Linked DNA regions of Diceros bicornis minor. The protein of the gene in region 1 purifies or fractionates together with the protein of each later gene. This does not show direct contact. Links are inferred from orthologs where the notes say so. Each region holds a gene or a part of one and is shown in the gene's direction. Other genes may lie near its edges.

Region 1 (7,417 bases):
TTTGAGTACTTTGAAGGCCCTACACCTGAAACTCAATCTTCCAACTGTGCCATTTTCCACTATAAAGAGACCCAAAAGCAGCGTAAAATGGATCTTCTGGTTCATATATACTTCCCCTTAAAGGATCTGAAAATTTTAAGACCCTCAAATGGCCAGGCTATAGTAAAAACTCAGTTGTTCAGGGTGTAGAGTTCCTCCCTCTAGATCTCAAGATAAATTCAAAAGGTGTTGGGGTTTTGACTTAGCGTGGTCACAGCATGGCTGAACGTAAAGTATTTTTAAATTATCTTTTGGTATTTTTCTGTCCTTTTCTTAATTCTATAAATGTGAATAATTCAGATGTGTTGTTCTGCAGTAACTACTTTTCCTTTATATCAAGGAGAACATTTCTCACTGTTTCCATCTTAATTCATCACCACCAACCTTCAAACTTATTTGCTCCAGGAAAAAAGACAAATGGAAAATTAGAGGAGAAACATTGCAGCAAATTGGTCTCCTTCTTTATGTTAATCCTAAATAGAAGCTAGACATTGAATAAAATTAGGCTGCAAAAGAAATATTAATTTGGCCATATATCTTCTCCCAGACTCCGAAATACCAAAAATGATCATGAGAAGTCCCCATGAAGGTAAACTAAATTACAAGAGGAGCTATGCTAAATGAGAAAAGCAAAATGAAAATTAGTGTATTTGAGATGGCAACATTCAATTTTTAAAAATGTACATATACATAATATTCTTATATATCCATAAACTATCTCTAGAAGAATATACAAGAAACTGACAAAAATGCCTCTGGGAGTGGAACTGGGTGGCTGGGTGTGAAGGGAGCTTTTTACTGTATCCCCTTGTGTATCTCTAGCATTTTATAACATACATATATTACCACTTCAACAGTGATTTTTTAAATTTTAAGTTCTTCAAGTATAATAAAAAGAGTATATTGATCAACCTAAAAATGCAACATTTTCCAATATTTAGTTTCAAATCATTATCTAAACCTACACTGACCTCTCTAGGCCAAAGTGCGTTACTGGAGCCCCAACCAACTGGATAAAATTGGTGGATCGTTGTATAATTAATGTGGATTATTAATGAGATGTAGTAAATCTATAAGCAGTGATGTATAATAGTTCCCCTTAATTTAGAGTGGGGGTGTGAAGAAGCACATTACTTTTAAAGAAAATCTCTAACCTGATCAACAGAGAAGGGAAATCCAGGTAGTCACTGACAACTCAAGTGTCTGCTCCTCTGTTTCAGACAAACTATTTTCTTTCACAATAACAAATATTGAAATCTAGTTCAGAGGGAAAAATTTTTAAAAAGAGTTAATAAATATACAAAATACCACCAACTTTCAACTGATCAGCTACTAAATGACTATGGGCTCTAAACCCAGGAGTAACATTTGACATTTTAACTTCTCTTTTCTTACCTTAGATGAGAAAGAGGAAAAAAAACACCTAATAAAGCTTTAAATATGAAAATAAAAGAAAGTTCCATAAACCAGATCCTACCCACTCAACATAAGAAAGAGGAGTGAATAAGGAAGAGAAAAGAACTCAGAAATAACTGATAAAGGGAACCAAGGGGAGGTGAATGAGGTGTTCCAAAAAATAGACAGTTTTCCTACACTTAGAACGCTAGAAATCATCACACTGATTTTAAGATGAAATCACCTAGCTCAGAGGTTCTCAAAGTGTGATCCTGGGGGACCCCTGGGGGTCCCCTCCCTTTTCTAGCTACTTATCTGTGTTAGGCTGGATTTCCTCATATACTTCAACCAAAACAAGATATCATAACAGATAGAATTCAAAAACAGATGAAAACCCAGCTGTATTCTCTTCAGCCAAACATGAAAGAGATTTGCCAAAATGTAAAACAATGCCATTCTTCACACTAAATTTTCTTTCATTTAGGCAAATATATTTTTCATAAAAATGTTATTTATATTAACATGTAATTATTTTATTATCATTTTAAAATTAATAAATGTTTAAAATTTTTGTTTAATCTCTAATATATTAATATCAATAGAAATAAGCCAATCTTTGAAGTCTTCCATAATTTTTAAGAGTATAAAAGAGTTCTGAGACCAAAATGTCTGAGAACTGATCTAGCTAAATAACTTAATTCAGTCTTGTCAATATTTTTCAAAAAGCATTAATCCTCCTCCCACCTCCCCCTGTTTAGAATGTCTTCACAAATTTCCCCCTCCTAACTATCCCATTTTCCCTCTTTATATTGTTCCTGGAATCCTTGGTCTAAGAATAAAAGCAAACCCTTTAGAATTGTCCTCTAACACAGACTCTGAGAGCCTCAAAAAACTGTATTTAAAGACTGTATTTAAAATCTCCTTTAAACTGGAGTTTAATTTCCTTGTGGCATTAATGTCTAATGGCATGTAAACCCCTGCTTATTTTCATGACTGGATTAGTAACAGTAGTTCTTGTCTTTTGTTTCTTCTTCTGCTTTTTTTGTGCTCAGTGAGCATGATTTAAAACTTTTAACAAGACACAAGGACAAAAAAGAAAGATTCCAGCTACCCTTACTGCCCATACTAGACCACTTAAAGCATTAAATGTCATAACTACTTGAACTAAACCGTTTACAGACTCATGAATAAATGCACAGTAACTAAAGCTTCTTGGTTCAGAGAGGGCAAGGAAGCACGGGGACGCGGCCACTTATCACCAATATACAGGCTCTTTCTTTCAGGACTCTCATCTCCTCCAAACTCTTGCTATCCACCGCCTGAAATGCTTCCTCACGTGCCTCTGCTACCGACCTCAAACCAGCCTTTTTGTGTTGCTTTGGCTTCAAGCAGCACATCCCCCGCACCATTTCCCCTCACCAGGTGCCAAAGTGTGGAACAGGGAAGGGCCTGACTCCACCTTTAAAACCAAAGGGAAGAACTCTGGGTCTTCCGCATTTTTCTTCTCTTCCCTCACCAATTCTCCCTTGAGGACAGCAATTACGAAGGGAGGTTTCACAGAGTCGAAAGTCCTTGACTGCCCTCAAAGAGTGGCTTTCTAGCCTCTTCCCCGTCAAGAATCCCATCACCAGAGACTTGCCCCTCAGCTGCACCCCTCCGCCCCCACACACAGAGGCACCACGATCCTCATTCTCGCTCAGCCCGTCCTTGCCCGCCATCATATTGGGTTACTTTTGTGTGTCTGTTGGGGGTGAGTTTGCGGTTAGAGAGCCTAAGCAGGAGGCGTAAGAGTTGGCTGTCCCCTGAGGAGAAAAGTTCTCCTCAGGCCACAAGTACCAGGACTGGCCGCGCCTAGCACCCTCATCTGCAACCGGAGAAGAGCCAGCTACCTTCTGGAGTGAAGAGGAGCGAGTGAGCTACTGCAGCGATTCTCCAAGCCCCTCCAACCTCGACCCGGTTTTCCCGCCACCAAGAAGAGGTGCGAGGCCCACGCACAAGCTCCACCCCCTCCTCAGCGGCTTCAGCCCAGGGCTGAGGCGCATGCGCAGCTGGAAGCCGCTTCTGCGTTTGCGCGGCGATTTCCGCCATCTTCCAACCAAACGCCCTGTAAAACTACTAATCCCATAATTCTCGCTAGCCTCACTTTTTTTAGGCGGCAGCTGCAGCGCCTGATCGTTCGTGAAGCACCTCTTCCTTTTACTAACTTTTCTGTGTCCCAGACTGCCTTTTCGTTCCCCGATTCCTATTCTTCCTTTTAGTCTCCTTCACGCCCTTATTTTAATATTTTATTTGAGACTATTGTGAACCCCACTCTCACCTCTCCTGCCCTCTTCTCAGCCACAGGCCCCGCACCCCCAGCACTGTTGGCAGGGAGAACGGGCCACCTAGCACCCCGTGGAAAGGGGGTCGAATAGCTTCTTCCCCATTGGCCGAGGCAGGGAGCCCAAAGCAGGCCGAAATCTCTTCCCCGCCCACATTCGTTTTTCTACAAGGCGGCGCGAAGCCGCAGCGTGTGCATTCGGGAAGGCCTGCGTGCGAGGTGGCGGTGGAGGTGGATGGACTGCTGGTGGTGGCTGTGGTGGGCGTCGGGGTCGCAGCCCGCGGGCTGGGGGCTCGTGCGCAGGCGTCGGGTGGTGGGCGGAGGTGTTGGTGTCTGGGCTGTGGGTGTGGAGGCGGAGAGGAGGGCGTGGTGTCCCCAGGTGATCGCGATTCGGCGAAGGCGGAGGAGCGCGAGAACGACTCGGCCATTTCGAGGGAAGAGGAAGTTGGACAACATCGGCTGTTTTAGTGCCTTTCTTTTTTTTCTTTTCAGTTCAGCAGAGAATATTTGCCAGAGGGGTGAGTTAAAATGACCTATCGTATTTTACTGAGAGCAGTTCGTAGGAAGACGGTCAGTATAATCCGCTCCTTCCCTTCCTCTACCTTTAGGTTCACCCCTCCGTTTCCTCAGCTCTTCTAAGTAGGGGGGCAAAGGGCGGGGGGGGGGGAATCGGGTCATGAATAATTCATGAGTGCCGCCCCGTCCCTTAGCCACGCCCCCTTCGAATCACGCTGACGCACGTTGCGTGCACCAAACCTGAGGAAGCGACGTAACAGTCCCCGCCCCTGGGACGGAGGGCGGGGCGTCATCTCCAGCACGTGCTGCATCTACCCGCGCAAGCCCGAAAGGGTGTGCGCAGGCGCTGCCGGCTAGGGGGAGGAAGGAGGCGGGGTAGGGAGGTTGTTGGGTTTAGAGCCGGGCGGAGACCGCTGAGACTCATTCCTCAGGAACAAGGGTCGGGTGTCAAGGAGATCTTTTCACACCAGCTCCCCGTCCCCCGCCTACGGTGGGTGGGATCGCGCGGCAGAGACAAAGGATATCAGTAGGGACGGACATAGCTGCGAAGGGAAGTAGGGTGTCAGTTTGGGGTGGTGGGCTTTTGGGGGGTCGTGGGGGGCTATATTTAAACTCCCGGAGCCGTTAAGTTGGTTCGTACTCCGATGCGCGCGCAACCAGGGTGGTGGCGGAGTGCGCATGCGTGATTCCGGGGCGAGAGGAATGCGCTCTAGCAGTGCGCGCTCGCGGCGAAGCGGCAGTGGTAGAGGAGAAAGGGGTCGGCGCAGGCGCGGTTGATTCCTCGAGTTGTTCGGGTCTCGCGGGCATCTTGTTTTGGTCTCGTGGGCGAGAAGGGCGCGCTTCGGGGGAGGCGCTTGGGCGCGAGACTAGGCGAGAAGAGCAGAGCTGCGCGCGCACTCGGGGAAGGGGGGGAAGGGAGCGGGATCTAGGAAGGGGGGTTAAGCCCCCTGGCCCCCCTCGTTGCCTTCGACTGGGACGGAATAAGGGGAGGAAATGATCGAGATGGCGGCGGAGAAGGAGCCGTTTCTGGTGCCGGCCCCGCCGCCGCCGCTCAAAGAGGAGTCGGACGGAGGGGGCGGCCCCACGGTGCAGCCGCACCGAGAGGCCGCCTCCGGGGAGCTCCGCGGCGGGACACAGCGCGGACTGGGCCCGCGCGCACACTCGGCGGGGGCCCCGGCTTCTGGGGCCGGCAAGGAGAGCCCCAGGGCTACATCCACTCCTCGGGGCGGCCAGGGGCAGCAGCAACGAGGGGGCGGCCTCCAGGCACAGCCGCACGGGGAGGCCCGCTTGACGGATCCCCACGGGCGAGCCGCTCCCCCGGACGTGGGGGAGGAGCGACGGGGAGGGGGCGGAACAGAACTGGGCCCCCCTGCCCCTCCTCGGCCCAGAAATGGCTATCAGCCCCACCGCCCCCCTGGGGGAGGGGGAGGCAAGAGGAGAAATAGCTGTAATGTAGGGGGAGGTGGTGGAGGCTTCAAACATCCGGCCTTCAAGAGGCGCAGGCGGGTTAATTCGGACTGTGACTCTGTGTTACCCTCCAACTTCCTCTTGGGGGGCAATATCTTTGATCCACTGAACCTGAATAGTCTCCTGGATGAGGAAGTGAGCCGCGTACTCAATGCAGAGACCCCTAAGTCATCACCACTTCCGGCCAAGGGGCGAGATCCAGTGGAGATCCTCATCCCCAAAGATATTACTGACCCGCTCAGTCTCAATACTTGCACTGATGAGGCCCAAGTAGTTCTTGCTTCGCCACTCAAGACTGGTCGGAAGCGGCATAGACACCGGGGACAGCACCACCAGCAGCAGCAGGCAACTGGAGGGAATGATAGCCACTCCGTGCTGCCCACAGCTCCCCTCACGCCCTCACTCCATGGGGAGGGCACCACACAGCAGCAGCGGCATAAAGGCCAGAACCGGGATGCCCCCCAGCCCTATGAACTCAACACAGCCATCAACTGCAGGGATGAGGTCGTGTCTCCCCTTCCATCCGCCCTACAGGGTCCCTCAGGCTCCCTTCCAGCCCCTCCAGCTGCCTCAGTTACCTGTGCACCCTCATCTTCCTCCTCACGACATCGCAAACGTCGCAGGACTTCCAGCAAGTCGGAGGCAGGGGCTAGGGGTGCAGGCCAGGGTCCCAAGGAAAAGGGCCGAGGGAGTGGGGGAGGCCGCCACCACCTCCACCCACTACCTGCAGCAGGCTTCAAAAAGCAACAGCGCAAGTTCCAGTATGGGAATTACTGCAAGTACTATGGGTACCGCAATCCTTCCTGTGAGGATGGGCGCCTTCGGGTGATGAAGCCTGAGTGGTTTCGGGGTCGGGACGTCCTAGATCTGGGCTGCAATGTGGGCCATCTGGCCCTGAACATTGCTTGTAAGTGGGGCCCATCCCGAATGGTGGGCCTGGATATTGATGCACGGCTCATCCACTCCGCCCGCCAAAACATCCGACACTACCTGTCCGAGGAGCTGCGTCTGCCACCCCAGCCTTCTGAGGGGGACCCAGGGGCAGAGAGTGAGGAAGGGACGACAACCGTCCGAAAGAGAAGCTGCTTCCCAGCCTCACTGACAGCCAGCCGGGGTCCCATTGCTGCACCCCAAGTGCCCTTGGATGGAGCGGACACATCAGTCTTCCCCAACAATGTTGTCTTCGTCACGGTAAGAGGGTCCATAAGGCTTTTGGGATAGGGGCCAAGTATGAAGATGAGGTTAAATGGGAACCTGGGAGGGGAAGGTTATGACCTAGAGGGATTTCTGTGCATGCACTCATCACTAGGAGGACCAGAGCCTCAAGAGAAAGGTAGGAATCTGAGACGGATTGCGCTGGGTATCTCTGCCCTCCTATAACCTGGAAAGATGAGAGTTTTATCTGGGGTTCTTTCTCATGACTAGATAGGGCTTGACTCCTTTTGCCCTGCTCCTGGCCTGGGCTAGAATCCATACCAGTCCATCTTCCCTCGGGGGCTGCTGCTGATGCTCCCTGGGGGATTTGGTCCATATGAGAACTTGTCCTCCAGTCGACTGAAGGTGCATGAAGAGATGGGGGTTAGACATGGAATGTTTTGGGGTGGGGAGAGGATTAGGGGAGTGGCTAATATTTATGGTGTCTGTCCATGGTTAGAGACCTTGTTTGCAATAGCTGCAGAG
Region 2 (7,188 bases), on another chromosome or scaffold:
CACAAAATATTTTGGACTCTCATCCCTTGAAGAGGCTCAGATTAGAACATCATGAATTCTAACCATCATTAAACACTACTGGCTACGAGAGAGATGGGTTTAAGGCAAACCCTGCCCTTGAAATACTTAGAAAACATTTTTAAGAGAAAACTAACAAAAATGAAGTAGGTGCAAGTATTAAGTGGATGGTGCTATAGAAGGAATGAGTGAGCAATCAGTGAGTTTGAGACTGGTTAGGGAAGGATTCCTTGAGGTGTCAGAGCTGGAGTTTTGTGTAGCTTAGCAAAGGAGATAATCTGAGCTGCAAACAAGGCCAAATTGAACAGATAAAGTTTGTTTTTAATGACCTCTGACCATCCCATTGGTACTCCCTCCGGGTCTCTGCCTTGTCTCATTCTTGCTCTCAACTATTCGTGGCTGAGGTATAACTGATCTTTTAAAAAAGAAAGAAGGATCTATTCTAAATGCAAATCTGAATCACTTTGCTTCGTAAGACTCTCCAGTGCCGTTCCCTTCCCTCCAAAATTAAATTCAAGACCCTTAGCATAGCATGTAAGCCCTGCCTACCAGCCTCCTGTCTGGCCACTGACGCTTCATGCTCTTCACTCCAGCAAAACTACTGGCTGTTGACTTCCCTCATACGCTAATCTCTAGCCCTTTGCCTTTGTTAATGCTGTCTTCTACCTAAAAATCTCTTTCTTTTCCTCTTTTCTTTTGGCTAACTCCTACACATTCTGTGACTTCCAAGCTACCTCTCCCTACACCCTGCAATCCCTCTCCTCAAACAGGTTTGGTGCCTGTCAGCTAGGCATGTAATTTCTGTTTACTCTCATTGTTTGAAAATTGTTTATCTGTCCATCTTCCTCAGCAGAGTATCAACTCCTTGAGACAGAGACTCTTACTAAGTTATATAGTCAGCACCTAGTACAGGCCTGGCACATGGAAGGTGTATGAGTCTGCTAGGGCTGCCATAACAAAATACCACAGATTGGGTGGCTTAAACAACAGAAACTTAGTTTCCTACAGTTCTGGTGGCTAGAAGTCCAAGATCCAGGTGTTGGCAAGTTTGGTTTCTTTTGAGGCCTCTCTGGCTTGCAGATGGCTGCCTTCTCAATATCCTCAAATGGTCTTTCCTCTGCATGCATGTATCTGTGTTTTAATCTTCTATAAGGATACCAATCACCTTGGATTAGGGTCCACCCATATGACCTCATTTAACCTTAATTACCTCTTTAAGGGCGTATCTCCAAATACAGTCACATTCTAAGGTACTGGGGGGTTAGAGCTTCAACATATGAGTTTGGGGGGGTACAATTCAGCCCATAACACAAGGTATTCAATAAACATTTGCTGAGTGAATGAAAAAGTTCTTGACCCATTTCAGGGGCTGCTGATCTTTGCTACACTGCCCCTGTCTTCCCAGCCCCATTCTTTGGTGTGCTTCTAATCAATCACAGCCATTCAGCAAGTTGTGAGGCTTCTGGATGAGACGGAAGGAACTTCAAGCTGAAAGGAAGGATGTTCTTCAATATTTGGGAGGTCTGGAGGTGACTCTTATCGCAGGGTGTACCTCTTTGGACCAGTGATTCTCCAGCCTATTTTGCAGAGACCTTGGGAGTGTCATGAAAATCTCAAATTTTACAAGAACATTATGATTAGTTGCAATAAAAAAAGGAAACAAATATTTCATAGTACTTTCCACTATTTCATGAATTTATTCAATTGGTGCTATATTCATCCACATTTCAAAATTCAAAATGTACATGAGGCTTTAGTAAAAATCCTCCCTCCTACTCCTGCCCCAGCTACTGAGTTCTCCAAAACCAATGTTGTTAGTTTCTCAGGGATTCTTCCAGAGATACTTCAGGCATATATAAGCAAGTATACTTCCATACAATATCATGTATAAAACACATGATATTCTGCACCTTTTTTATTATGAATAGTTTTAAATTATGAATTACAAATTTACGACAAATCCTGTTTCATCTAAACCCACACCAACTGTCCATCCCCTACTCTGGGCCCCATGGCTGGGACCAGGGTGAGGTAAGCCAGATGCCTGAGCACAATTTAAGGAGGTGCTCACTCGGGGTTGTACTTGCACATGTGAGTGTGATTCCTCAAATTTTGCTCCTTAGGCTTGCCCCATCCCCTGCTGGCTCCACTGGATTATTTGGAAGTAAATCTCAGATGCATCACAGCTTGTTTTTTCTTACTATATATTGGATATCATATCAGGAGACAAAGAGCTTCTTAATCTTGATTATAGTTGCATAGTATTACACTATATGAATATGCAGTAATTGAGCCAGTCCCTGTTGATAGACATTTAGGTTGTTTCCTGTCTTGGTATTTTAAACAATGCTGCGATGATTACATTATGTCACACATGTAAGTTTATCTGTAGGATTAAATACCTAGAAGTGGAGTTTAATAATTTACATTACCACCACTTTTTGATCTTTGCCAACCTAATGGGGGAAAATGGTTTCTCAGCATAGTGTAGTTTGCATTTCTCTTTTAATGAGAGCAGTTGGGCATCTTTTTGTATGTTTGAGGACTATTTTATTTCCTTTGCTATAAACTGATTGTTCACAACCATTGCCAATTTTTATTTTCAGTCTTTATGTCAGATTAAAAATATATCATGTACTTAGATTAAAAAAACTAACCTAAGTTGTTCTAGAGTTTAATGTAATCACAGTAAAAATACCAAAAGTTTTTTAAATTAGATAAACTAATTCTAAAGTTTGTAAGAAAAATAAGAATAGCTAGGAAAATTCTACCTACTTCTAGTCCTACCAAATAAGAAAACTAATTATAAAGATACAATACTGTACTCATAACAGTGATACTGGTCCACAGACACAAAGATCAATTGAACAAAATATAAACTATGTACATACACATACACTGGTATATTATAAACGTGGAATTTTAAATTGAATGGGGAACAATGGGTTATTTTTTTGTAATGGTGACGGACAACTGGGTAGCCATCTAGAAATCATAAAGTTGTATCAGTTCTAGGATACATTGGGATCAATTCTGGATGGATCAAAGATTTAAATTTAAAAGATTAAATTTAAAATCATTAAAAAAAAAAGCAAATCACTTCTCATGAGTTGTATATATGACCTATCAGTCAAATGATTGGTTATAGGGATCAATCCCCAAAAGTTTAGGAATCACGACTTCAGAAACAGACAGGAAAACGCAAAAACGAGTAGCAAGGTCTTCACACCTGCGATGGGCTGGGCAGGGCAGTGTGCGATCCGAGCTGTCTGAACCCTGCACATCTCCAGTTCACTCTGGCCCCACACTCTCCACTGGGTTTGGGGCGGGGGACTTTTTTTGAGAAATAATTACTCCACTGTCTCCTAGCTCTTCATAGGTTAAAAATCACGTTCGTACGCTTTGACCTCAACCCCTTCACGAGGTCGGCATCCCTCTTTCCTCACTGAACGTCCGCCCCTCCTCTAAGGGGCGCCCTGAGCCAGGGCCTCAGCTCTGAGCGAGCGTCTTCATCCATGAAACGCGGGTTCCAGCTGACCAGGACCCCGCCTCCCGCCGGCCCCCGGACGCGGTGTGCGGACCACGCACGCGCGCTCCCGCTGCCCCGACTCGCCCGGGGCGAGTGTCCGCCCGTCTGGGGACAGCTGGGCTGAGGCCGGCGGGCCGAGGGACCCGCCCGTGTCCTCCCGGTCGGGGCGGGTGGAGCCCGGAGTCAGGGTCCGGGCCCCCACGCACACGGCCGCGCCCCTCGTCCCCCCACCTCACGGGGCCCACGACGGCGCAGCCACGGCGTCCGCCTCCGGACAGTGCCAGGTGCGCCCCGAGCCCGCCGCCCGCCCCTCCGCACCACAGCGCGGCCGTCACCTTCGGTTCCAGGCGGACAGGCCTAGGAAAGCACAAACCAACCCATTCCACAGGCGGAGGGCCGCCTGGGCCGCCTACCTCTCTCGGCCGACTCAAACCGAGCCGCCGCCTCCAGGTGGCGCTGTAGGACCGGCCCACGTTCCAAAGCGCCATTCCCCTCAGTCGGGCCTCCCCCGGATGCTGTAGAGCACCGAGAAAAGCGAGCCCCCCGGCTAGAGAGGCATTTCCCAGGAGCCTCCCCGGTCGCCGCGCGGGGACCATACACTTGCTTTTCCGGTTCCTTATTCCGGAAGTTGCTCTGAGGCGGCGTGCGCGTTCGTGTGGCCTTTGTCCGCTTTCACCATGGCGTACCGCGGCCAGGGCCAGAAGGTGCAGAAGGTGATGGTGCAGCCCATCGTATCCTCCGCGGACGGCAGGGCTGGGGGGTCGGGCCGGAAAACGGGGCGAAGAGCGGACGGCAGGCCGGAGGGCGCGGGCCGCGGCCACCTCCCGTGAGCCCGCGGGCGGGCGGCCGAGCCGGAGGAGGCGCGGGAGTCGAGCACCGTGCCGGGGGAGCGGGAGCCGCGGGGAGACGGCTGCGGGAGTCCTGGTGAGGGCGGGGGCCGGCGTCCCGCGGAGTGAGAGGGCGCGCCTTCGAGGGCCGGGGGCGGCGCCTGTGTCGTGCAGGCGGCAGAGCTCGCGCTCGGAAGACGACCAGGGGACGGTGGGCTAGGGTTGACTCGCTCAGGGGCCAGAGCCTGTGCTGTGCGTGTACTTCTTCCTTAACCGCGGGTGCAGAACCTCATCTTCAGATACTTGCAAAACGTACGTAAGTCGTTAGTTTCGTAGTTTTCTTTGAGTAAAGAGTGAATTTATTTGGCTGTGTCATTCTGTCTGATCACTGTGTTCTAGAGTTAAAAATAGGTGGAAACTGTGGAGATTGGAGGGGCATTTGAGGGGAAAGGGTACAGGGAAAGCTCTAATGTAGTAAAATGGTGTGTAGCCATGCCAGCTCCAAGCATCAGAGAATCGTGTCATCGTTACTTTGCAAGACCGAGATTACTAATTTCAAAAAGTAATTATTGGCAGACGTGTCAGTGGTATTTGGATATTGGTAGTGGTTATGGCCAGGGCATTGGAACCTTTCCCTCTTCTTTCCCCTAGGGTGAGACGTCGGAAGAAAACTCCAGTCAGCTTTAAACCACGTCATAAGGTGGTGTGTTTAGTACCTGGAGGAAAACTTAAACATAAAAAAGACAGTAAAAAAAGAGAGAGGAGGGATAGATTCAGGCGGTTTAGTGGCAGCCTGCTTTCTTTTGGGAGGATTTTTAGCACCTCAGATTTTGAGTTGGCAGGGCAGAGTGTTTAAATTATTTCTGAGGGAAAATGTAGTTCCTGTTGCTCTTACAAATTTTAGCGTGACAATACAATTGGAAAACATTAATTTCAAGCCATTGTAATTTTTAATCACCAGAATTGAGAGTCCCTCCCTTGATTGTTAGGTGTAAGGCATGGAAAACCAAGAACCTAGAGAAAGCTGTTTTGGAGCTGGATTTTCTTATAGCAGGTGAGAAAGAAGCACTTGGTCATTAGAAATTCCTGCTTTGTGCGATACTGTCACCAACTTTCAATTGAAATGTATTGAGAATAGAAGCAGTAAGAAATGTGATTGAGTTCCAAGATCACAGGGAAATTATTAACTTAGTCCCAATGCAGCATTTATTAAGTGAGAATGTTTTTTGGCAAGTAACTAGTCTTAGTTACCAGTTCTTAGGTATGTGTTAAGTGGTTAAAACTCTTGACTTGAAATTTTTGAAGTTTCTTTAGGAGCCTTGTTTCTCTGTTGTTTGACCAAAGTGATTGGATTATGTTTATTTTTTAACATTTTTATTTTTATGATTATTTCAGAGATCTCGGATTCAGGTGTGGCTTTACGAGCAAGTGAATATGCGGATAGAGGGCTGTATCATTGTGAGTACCCAGGACATTTACTACCCAGTTAGTTCACAGAAAAAGATTTTGCAGAAAAGGCCAGCCAGAGCAATGTACAGAAAGTCCAAGACCCAACCCAAGGAAAGTTTTTTAGGGCCCACTATCCTTGTCTCATTGTTCTACTCATTGTTAGGAATTGGGTAATTCAAAAAAGAGAGGGAAAATTAATTTTTAAAATTAATTTTATTTTAAAAATTTAAAATAATTTTAAAAATTATTTAAACAACAGTGTTAGTATTCAAAGGAGAGGACAAAAGAAATAAAATTGAGGGGGGCGGTGAGGATTAATGGAGTGTTAGTTTTGGGTTAGGTGATACCTCAATAGAGCTTGGTGGGGTTAGTTAAATAAGACTCCCAGGATGGCAGAGTACCCTAAATAATGTTTTAAAGAAGGGTAAAATATGGTTGAAAGTATTATGTTCAGACACTTTGGTTTTCCGTTTAGACTTGTAGATTCCATCAATATAATCTCCCCTTCCCTGTTTACTAGTTGGAAAGCAGGCGTGGTGGTTAGTGGTGTTAGTGTTTTGTGGGGAGCATGGGAAGAACGGTGCAGTAGATGTTAATTCACATATGTAGGCGTGTACTCGACCTTGGGCAGCTTATAAAAGGTAGAGAGAATGGCTCTTTGGCATAACTAATGAGATCTTAGTCCAAAAGGTTACAGAAGTAACTTGGAGTACATGCTGGCTTTCTTTGTTATTTAAGGAGAGGCTTAGGGTGGGAGGTGGTGTTCAGCTGAAAGATCAGTGTAGCGGTGAATTTCTGAAGTTGGTTGGCATTTCTGTACCTCCATAAGTGTGTTCTTGTAGAATGGTTTGGATGTGATCTTACTTGAAGATGACAGTCATCAATTGGCTTATTTTTCTAGGGTTTTGATGAGTATATGAACCTCGTATTAGATGATGCAGAAGAGATTCATTCTAAAACAAAGTCAAGAAAACAACTCGGTAAGAATATAGATGCCTTATAGAATTGTAGAAATTTGTATTCACTGGTACAGTTGAATGACTTGCAACTCAGTTCATGTTTAAATTTAGTTTGTATTTGAGAAGTTATTATTTGGGGGAGTAGTACACACTTGGAATCATGCTCTGCCACTTATTCCTTACCCCACTCCATTTCTCCTGCCTGTCCACTCAGTTCTCACCAAGGTCACCGAAGACTAATGGTGTTTAATGGTCAATATTAGTCCTTATGTTATTGAATTCTAAACAGCATTTGGCACTGTTGGCCACTCCCTCCTTAAAAACTGTTCCCTTGGCATTATGATACTATGCTTAGGTTTTCAGTGTTCATCTCTAGTTACTCCTTTTCAGACTTTTGTATATTCAG
Region 3 (7,618 bases), on another chromosome or scaffold:
TGTGGGTGTTCTGCCAACACAAGTGTAACGTTGTCATCAGAAATGAATATGTGGCTCCGAGTGGCTTACAGAAATCCAACAAATCTGTGTCTTGGACTCCGCACAAGCCAGCTCTTCTCAGGATGACCTGGACTCCTTCCCATTAGTACAATGATCAGCTAAAGCCATCCTCCATAAGGAGAGAAGGAAAATCAAGGTTTATGTCAGGGAAAAAAGATAACTGCCCAGAGTCGAAGTTCATGAATAACAATGTGTTAAGGGCAGCCATACTGAGTGAGTTATCAGTGATAGCTTGCACTGTAATTTATTACATTTAAAATCAATATCCACAGCACAGAGCTTTAGGCCCAATTTCATGTAAGGTGAATGGAAATAAAAATAGACCAAGTAAAAGAACAAAAAAAAGAAAGAAATGCTTTACCAGGGGTTGTTAAATGGGCTATTCCAATAAGATATGTAAATCATACTATGTGGTTAAATAAATACCTCAATAAAAAGCAAAACTACTCGTCTTCATCAGAAACCTATGTACCCTGGGTACCTTCCTCTCTTTTCTAGAGCTACTGTCAAAGGCTCTGAAAATCACCAGAACTTTCCTAGACATATAAAAATCCAGTCACTTCAGAGGTATGTTTTTTCTTTCTCTTTCCCCAATCATCATCCTGGTCACCTACAACCCAGATAAAAGTTTCCTATTTATTGGTTTTCAGACAGACCAGTGAAGATGTATTATTTTCCCTTTTAGTGAACAATGTCCTTTTTTGGTTTGGTTGCAATCTTATGCCTCTAAGTTATAAGCACAAGTGCTCAAAATTTAATTTTTCTAACAAGGACTCAACATTTTGTCTTGTTAACGGAGTGGTACAAGTTAACAACCAAACCTGTCTTCAAAGGCAAGAAATAAAAGTCTAAAGTTAGGATTTTCAATGTGATAATCTCAGAATATCAATGAAAAATCACCCACTAAAATTTCCCCACCAGGGAGAAATGTTCATCAGACCTATTAGCTATGACACTGCAAGAGAATTCACAATAAAACAATCTTTACTTGTACAGCACAGTAAACCAAGAAGTCTATGTTCAAATCCTGAAATCTTTCAAATTAAAGTATACATTAAAAATATCAAAAAGGGGTCATTGATTAATTTGTTTATAAATCCAAGTTGCTGGGGCTAGAGCTGAGAAGAATTGACTCACAGAGACATCTAAGATGGCATGATTTGGTTACCTATTCTTCAGATTGCTTGTTTTTCTTTTTTCCCCAAACTGTGGGTCTGTACACAGCTGTGAAATCATTTCAGCAGAAACTGATCTATGTTTTTAAGAAAATGAAATAGTGTCCTATAGATGAGGAAATACCAGAGTGCTTTGCACATTTATATTTATATACATATTTGTATAGTGTATACATTGTTTCAATGTGAGTACAGGTTCAGTATAAAATGTGTATTTCTTGCTGAGGGTCAAGGTCAAAAAAGTTTGAGACACTGATCCAAACGAATTCCAGTAAAGGAAAGAGACTTAAATCAGGTGAAAACGTAAGAAGCATCAGAAGCAAAGTCTACCTTCTTCAAAAACATATTTGCCATTCATTATTTTAGGAAGCCAAATGAACACAAGATGCAATCATGTTTAAATTGCAAGGAATGGTAAAAATCTTGATGAAATTTTCCTTTTATCCAATGAAACAATTATCACTGTATAGCCGAAGAGATAATCATTAGGATTTAGTGATCCATTAACCATAGGCCAATTCCTAAAAACATAAACACTTCAACCATCTTCTTCCTCTAATTTCTAATTAGTAAAATAAAAGATTTTGATGAGATAACCAACTCTAGTATCTGTCATTTTAGATCAATGGTTTTCAACTGGGGGAGATTTTGCACACACCCCACGCACCCACTCCAGGACATCTGGCAATGTCTGAAGACATTCTGATTGTCATAAATCAGGGTGTGGAGAGGTGAGATGCATTTATCCAGCTCAAGACATCAATAGTGATGAGGTTGATAAACCTTGTCGTACATCAAGATTGTATTCCTTTCAAACCTAAGGGACAAATAGCCTTAACTTGTGTCTCTTCAGTTCTTATAAGCTAAGCAGCTGCATTATTAGCATACCTACAAATAGTTTATAACCAAATATGAAATAGGTCCTTTGCAAGTGCCAGAGAACGTGGAAATCTCTCCTCTGTTCATTACAAGCTCAACTAAGATCATCTTTCTTTTGTACAATGTCAGAAAACTCTAAGCATAAGTGTGCTCCATATGTAGTTGAACTTATTACAGTATTTAAATTTTTCTCCTTTGACCCTAAATAAATCAACGAACAATGGAGCAGTACAGACTCTAATACAGCCAATATGTAATAAAAATTTTTATATTTTACGAAAACATCTTGGAATAAGCAGAATGGACATTACCAACAGGAGATGGACTGCATGTAAAATAAACACTGAAGGAAATACAATCAAAAGGCAATAAATAATCCAGGTGATAAATGAGACCTCCTGTTCCCAACACCCTAAATGTCATCACTCTCCTTAAGCAACTTCCTTCTTATCCAAATTCAGACATCCTCAAAGGAGCAGCAGAAAGAAGGGCTTAGAGAATCTTTAACGATGCAAAGAAAGAGACATAAGGGGGGAAAAGTTCCTCACAGGCTAAGATAAAGGCAGTGGGGACAAGGAAAATGCTTGTAAAGTGCTGAGCATGATGCCTAGCAGGTACTAAGCACTCAAAAAAAAGTTACCTTTTTAAATTTATATTTTTATACCGAGAATCACCTTAGTTCTTAAAGGGAAAAACAGCTCTCTTTCGAGGTGTAAGGAGAAAATGGGTGACGAGAAGTACGTGATTATGACTGGAAACACAAAAACTGACCTTTTAACTTAACTTTAGTCTCAAAGTATTATCCCTGCGAGGATTTAAGCATTATAGATCCCACCTGCCTCGATCCCATTTTATGCCTAGAGGTAACACACTCTGGCATGTAGCTTTCCAAAACTTTTTCTACGGATTTACAAACATCGATTTGTCCGTGGAAATATGCATTATTATGATGCAGAATTTCTTCGGGCGCCTTTCCACGAGAATACATAAAGATTTATCCTCTTCATTTTAACATTTCAAGTCAGTCTTCCTAGAGAAGCGAGTTCCTAAAGTCAAAAAACCTCCCTTGCTCTCCCTAAAACCTATGAAGTGGTGGACGGCGGGATGCACCGATGTGGGGAAAAAAATGCCGAAATCGAGACACACGGGAACAAACTTAGAGCTTCCGGACCAGGGAGGTTTGGGGATGGAGGCCCATGGGCTTTGTTAGAGAGAAGTCATTGTGGATGAAATACCTACCCCGACGCGCCATCACGGGCATTGAATCCCCTCCCCACTACCCCAAATCTAAGACCTCCCTCTTCTGGAGCGCTCATTGGACGACCTGCGCGAGCGCCTTCCGGAGGCTGACCGCCTACTGGCTCCAGAACCGGTCCATCCATTTACCCGCCCGACTCCCGCGTTCCCCATTGGAGTCACACGGCGGCCTCTCGGAGGAGCCCAACCTACCGCGCGCTGCGTGCTCATTGGCTCGGAGACACGCTGCTCAGGAGGGGAAAACCCGCCTCCCACATTCCGATGGCCCAAGGACCGCGCAGTCGGCGGCTACAGGCAGACCCAATTGGTCTATACACTCGCCAGTCAAACGCCTCGGATGCAAAGCTCCACAGAACCTATGCGGCTAAAACATCCCGCCCCTCTTCTTCCATTGGCTGGCCGGACCCACCGCTCCCCTTTCACTGGCCCCCACCCTACAGTCCATTCATTTCACACAATAACGGGCCCAACTGGAGTCGGTTCAAGACCTCGTATGGGTAGGCAAGGCTGTCAGCCACTTACCCGGGATGGAGACCGATCACTCACGCTAACGTCTTCCCCGTTCCTCTATGGTGAGGCCGGACCACAAGCCACTGCTGCCGCCGCCTTCTGCGCAACGCCAACCGCCCGCCAAAACGGATCCTTCCCTGCGCCTGCGCGACCAATCCTGGAACCGGACCCTTTCTCCGCCCATTACGCCTGCGCAAAACGGAGCACAACTCCCGCCACTACGCAGGCGCTGTAGGTCCGCCGCTGTCTCCCGCCCGCCATTTCACGTGTTCCAAGCGCCAGGGGGAACTTCTTAATGCGCCTGCGTAAACTCGCCATTTTACTACACATGCGCTCAGCAGGCGATCTTTGCAAAAGAAAAAAAATTATCACATGCTAACTACTTTTCCAATACATAGTATTAATCATACATTGCTCCGTGGGTTGACTATAATATCCGGGGCGTGGAGGATTAAAGTTATTTACATAGCTTACGTGTATTAAAATATGAATGATTGATTGGCTAGCCAATCAGTCTGGTTAAGAATAATATTAGTCGGGAACCAATGGCCCCCAAGGGGTGGAGACTGCGTAGAACGCCCAAACGGATGACGTTATACAGCAGTGCGGCACCACAGACCAATAGTAGGGGGAAGCTGTTTCAAATAACCAATCAGAGCTACGCAGGGGCGGAGTCTACCAATGCCGACACCGAGGAGGCGGGATAAAAAAGCGAGGCCGAAGGTAGGCTGGCAGATACGTTTAGTAGGTTACTCCTTTCTGCTTGTGGACGCCGCTGAGGAAGCATCGTTAAGGTCTCCCGTCCCACTGTAGTCATGTCTAAGTCAGAGGTGAGTAAGACGCTCTCTCCAACTTCAGTCTCTTCCTCGCCCTCCCCTGAGTTCGGTAGGACGCGGCCTGGTTTGGCTGCTTGTACCAGCCCATTCGGTAGTTCTTCGATCGCTGCCAGGGCCTACTCCTCCCAAAGTTCAGGTCGCCATTTTGTCCTCGTCGTCGCCATGAGGCCGTCGTCTTGCAACCCTTAGCTACCACGCCGGGCTCGTTCTTCCTGGCAAAACTCTTCGGCACATTCGATCTATTTTTTCCCCTTGTCTCGGTGGGCGAGTTTCTTGAGGAGCAGCTACAGTCCCGTACTGGCACGTACCAAGCCCGCCGGGTCCTTTTGTTGCGCGTGCGTCGGAAGGAGAGTGGCGACGCATGCGCTCGCGGCTCCCCAGCCCTCCCAGCCCCGAACATAACGCCTCCCCTGATGGGGGGAAGCACGTGGCCTGCTGCGGCCCCAGGGAACAATAAGTGCTTCGTAGGTTGCTGTCTAGTTATGCTTCTCTCAAGTGGAAGGTGTTTCGCACTATAGCCCAGTTAACGCTTTTTTCCCCTGCTCCTAGTCTCCTAAAGAGCCCGAACAGCTGCGGAAGCTCTTCATCGGAGGTTTGAGCTTTGAAACAACCGACGAGAGTCTCAGGAGCCATTTTGAGCAATGGGGAACGCTCACGGACTGTGTGGTAAGACTTGGAAGAGGCAAAAGGCGATAGAACCAGTTGATTTTCTTGGCTTATCTTGCTATGGTTCCTGTCCGACTGCTTGTGAAGATTGTTGACAGGATTCGAGTTAGAAACAGCTTGGCAAGGGAAGGTGGGGCTTTGTTAAATTGTTTAAAAGCTCCTTTTCAATGGATTTACCCGAGGTGGGTAGTGGGAAACTGAAGAGCTTTGCATAGAGCCTCCTATTAACCTTACTCAAGCTAGAAATGACTGTAGGTTTTGGAGTCTTACTGTGTATTAAATCAATTGACATCTCAGGTAATGCGAGATCCCAACACCAAGCGCTCCAGAGGCTTTGGCTTTGTCACGTACGCCACTGTGGAGGAGGTGGATGCAGCCATGAACGCAAGGCCGCACAAGGTGGATGGGAGAGTTGTGGAACCAAAGAGGGCAGTCTCAAGAGAAGTAAGTGATATTTTTTTCCTTCCATTAGTCATTTAGAAGTGTGCCACTAGGTAGACGTCACATTTGTGGGTGTTACAGGGTTTTTAACATTCTTGATTTTGGGCTAGATTTCGCCAAAATAAACAACTTAATGGGGTTTTTCCTGTTAGGATTCTCAAAGACCTGGTGCCCACTTAACTGTGAAAAAGATATTTGTTGGTGGCATTAAAGAAGACACTGAAGAACATCACCTAAGAGATTATTTTGAACAGTATGGGAAAATTGAAGTGATTGAAATCATGACTGACAGAGGCAGTGGCAAGAAGAGAGGCTTTGCTTTTGTAACTTTTGATGACCATGACTCTGTAGACAAGATTGTCAGTAAGTATCAGACGATGGGCACTTGCTAAGGGTTCTGAAGTCCATGTTGTATTCCAAACGGTGAGATCATGTTCTCTTTATCTTTGACATTTTTTAGTTCAGAAATACCATACTGTGAATGGCCACAACTGTGAAGTACGGAAAGCCCTATCTAAGCAGGAGATGGCTAGTGCTTCATCCAGCCAAAGAGGTGGGTTTTTTGCTTAATTAAACCTTAAAGATCACTTTGAATAATTCCAACCTGCGTGGTTTAACACTTAAAACTTCTCTCTCAAGGTCGAAGTGGTTCTGGAAACTTTGGTGGTGGTCGTGGAGGTGGTTTTGGTGGGAATGACAACTTTGGTCGTGGAGGAAACTTCAGTGGTCGAGGTATGTATTGTTAATGGTTTACTACTAAGAATTAACAGTAAGCTTGTGATTTAATTACCCCCAGGTAACTTGTCCTTTTTGCAACCTGTGGTAGATGTAACTACTAGCCCACGTTTTCAAAGTTAGATTTTATCCAAATGTAGTTCTGGCTTCGTAACAAGAAGTTAAAATTCTTGGTATGGAAATCATTTTTGCAGTACAGGAACTGCTTCCTAAAACTTAAGACTTAGAAGAGTGTGATTTGTATGCAATCCGTAAACGTCAAACCTGGTTTAAAACACTGCTTTATTCCAGGTGGCTTTGGCGGCAGCCGTGGTGGTGGTGGATATGGTGGCAGTGGGGATGGCTATAATGGATTTGGTAATGATGGTAAGTTTTCTCAAGGAATACACAGGTGGAAAATATTTTGACAACCTTTAGAATAGGTTAGTAGAGACTAAAATTTTAGTGCATGACAAGCTCAGCTCTGACCATAACAGCATGCTGTGAGCAGGCTTTTAGCCATTACGCTTGCACAGGTTTTGATTGTTGAATACTTTTGTCTTATTGAGAAGAATTGTATTCTTGTAGGTGGTTATGGAGGAGGCGGCCCTGGTTACTCTGGAGGAAGCAGAGGCTATGGAAGTGGTGGACAGGGTTATGGAAACCAGGGCAGTGGCTATGGCGGGAGTGGCAGCTATGACAGCTATAACAACGGAGGAGGCGGAGGCGGCTTTGGCGGTGGTAGTGGTAGGTATCCAGTGATCCAAGTACTTGGTGCAGTAGCTAGATTAGCCTCTTGGAGTTGATGCTCATGTGGGGATTTGGTGCTCTTAAAGCATTAACGTGGTACGCTGCATGGTATTCTTTTTTAATGGGCTTGCTAATGCTACCTCCTCCTAGCTTTAAGCTGGGGCCGCCTCACTCCCAAATAGATGGGTAAGTGGATAGTGGTGTCTTGAATTGGAATTAGATTAGCTTCTAGCAGGATTTAGTTAGTATTTTAATTCCTTTGGGACCTTAGGCACTTAGTTGATGTATCCAGCCTGAGTTTGCAATGTCCCTGAACGGGTAAAGGCCTTC

What was found.
Region 2: the proteins of MEPCE (region 1) and SNRPE purify together in Homo sapiens (affinity purification with mass spectrometry; 3 studies listed by BioGRID and IntAct, counting the BioPlex papers as one, with this or other methods). This does not show direct contact. The link is inferred for Diceros bicornis minor from reciprocal best matches to the Homo sapiens genes MEPCE and SNRPE.
Region 3: the proteins of MEPCE (region 1) and HNRNPA1 purify together in Homo sapiens (affinity purification with mass spectrometry; 3 studies listed by BioGRID and IntAct, counting the BioPlex papers as one, with this or other methods). This does not show direct contact. The link is inferred for Diceros bicornis minor from reciprocal best matches to the Homo sapiens genes MEPCE and HNRNPA1.

The regions. Positions count from the first base shown.
Region 1 is NC_080765.1:5,362,170-5,369,586, reverse strand, and holds the start of MEPCE (7SK snRNA methylphosphate capping enzyme), read left to right. Parts: upstream 1-4,416; 5' UTR 4,417-5,263; coding exon 5,264-6,928; intron 6,929-7,417. UniProt on the Homo sapiens protein: S-adenosyl-L-methionine-dependent methyltransferase that adds a methylphosphate cap at the 5'-end of 7SK snRNA (7SK RNA), leading to stabilize it.
Region 2 is NC_080743.1:101,799,420-101,806,607, reverse strand, and holds the start of SNRPE (small nuclear ribonucleoprotein E), read left to right. Parts: upstream 1-4,174; 5' UTR 4,175-4,224; coding exon 4,225-4,278; intron 4,279-4,659; coding exon 4,660-4,686; intron 4,687-5,769; coding exon 5,770-5,832; intron 5,833-6,724; coding exon 6,725-6,803; intron 6,804-7,188. UniProt on the Homo sapiens protein: Plays a role in pre-mRNA splicing as a core component of the spliceosomal U1, U2, U4 and U5 small nuclear ribonucleoproteins (snRNPs), the building blocks of the spliceosome.
Region 3 is NC_080756.1:16,116,083-16,123,700, reverse strand, and holds the start of HNRNPA1 (heterogeneous nuclear ribonucleoprotein A1), read left to right. Parts: upstream 1-4,604; 5' UTR 4,605-4,696; coding exon 4,697-4,711; intron 4,712-5,266; coding exon 5,267-5,383; intron 5,384-5,680; coding exon 5,681-5,827; intron 5,828-5,976; coding exon 5,977-6,187; intron 6,188-6,284; coding exon 6,285-6,377; intron 6,378-6,463; coding exon 6,464-6,556; intron 6,557-6,850; coding exon 6,851-6,925; intron 6,926-7,126; coding exon 7,127-7,285; intron 7,286-7,618. UniProt on the Homo sapiens protein: Involved in the packaging of pre-mRNA into hnRNP particles, transport of poly(A) mRNA from the nucleus to the cytoplasm and modulation of splice site selection.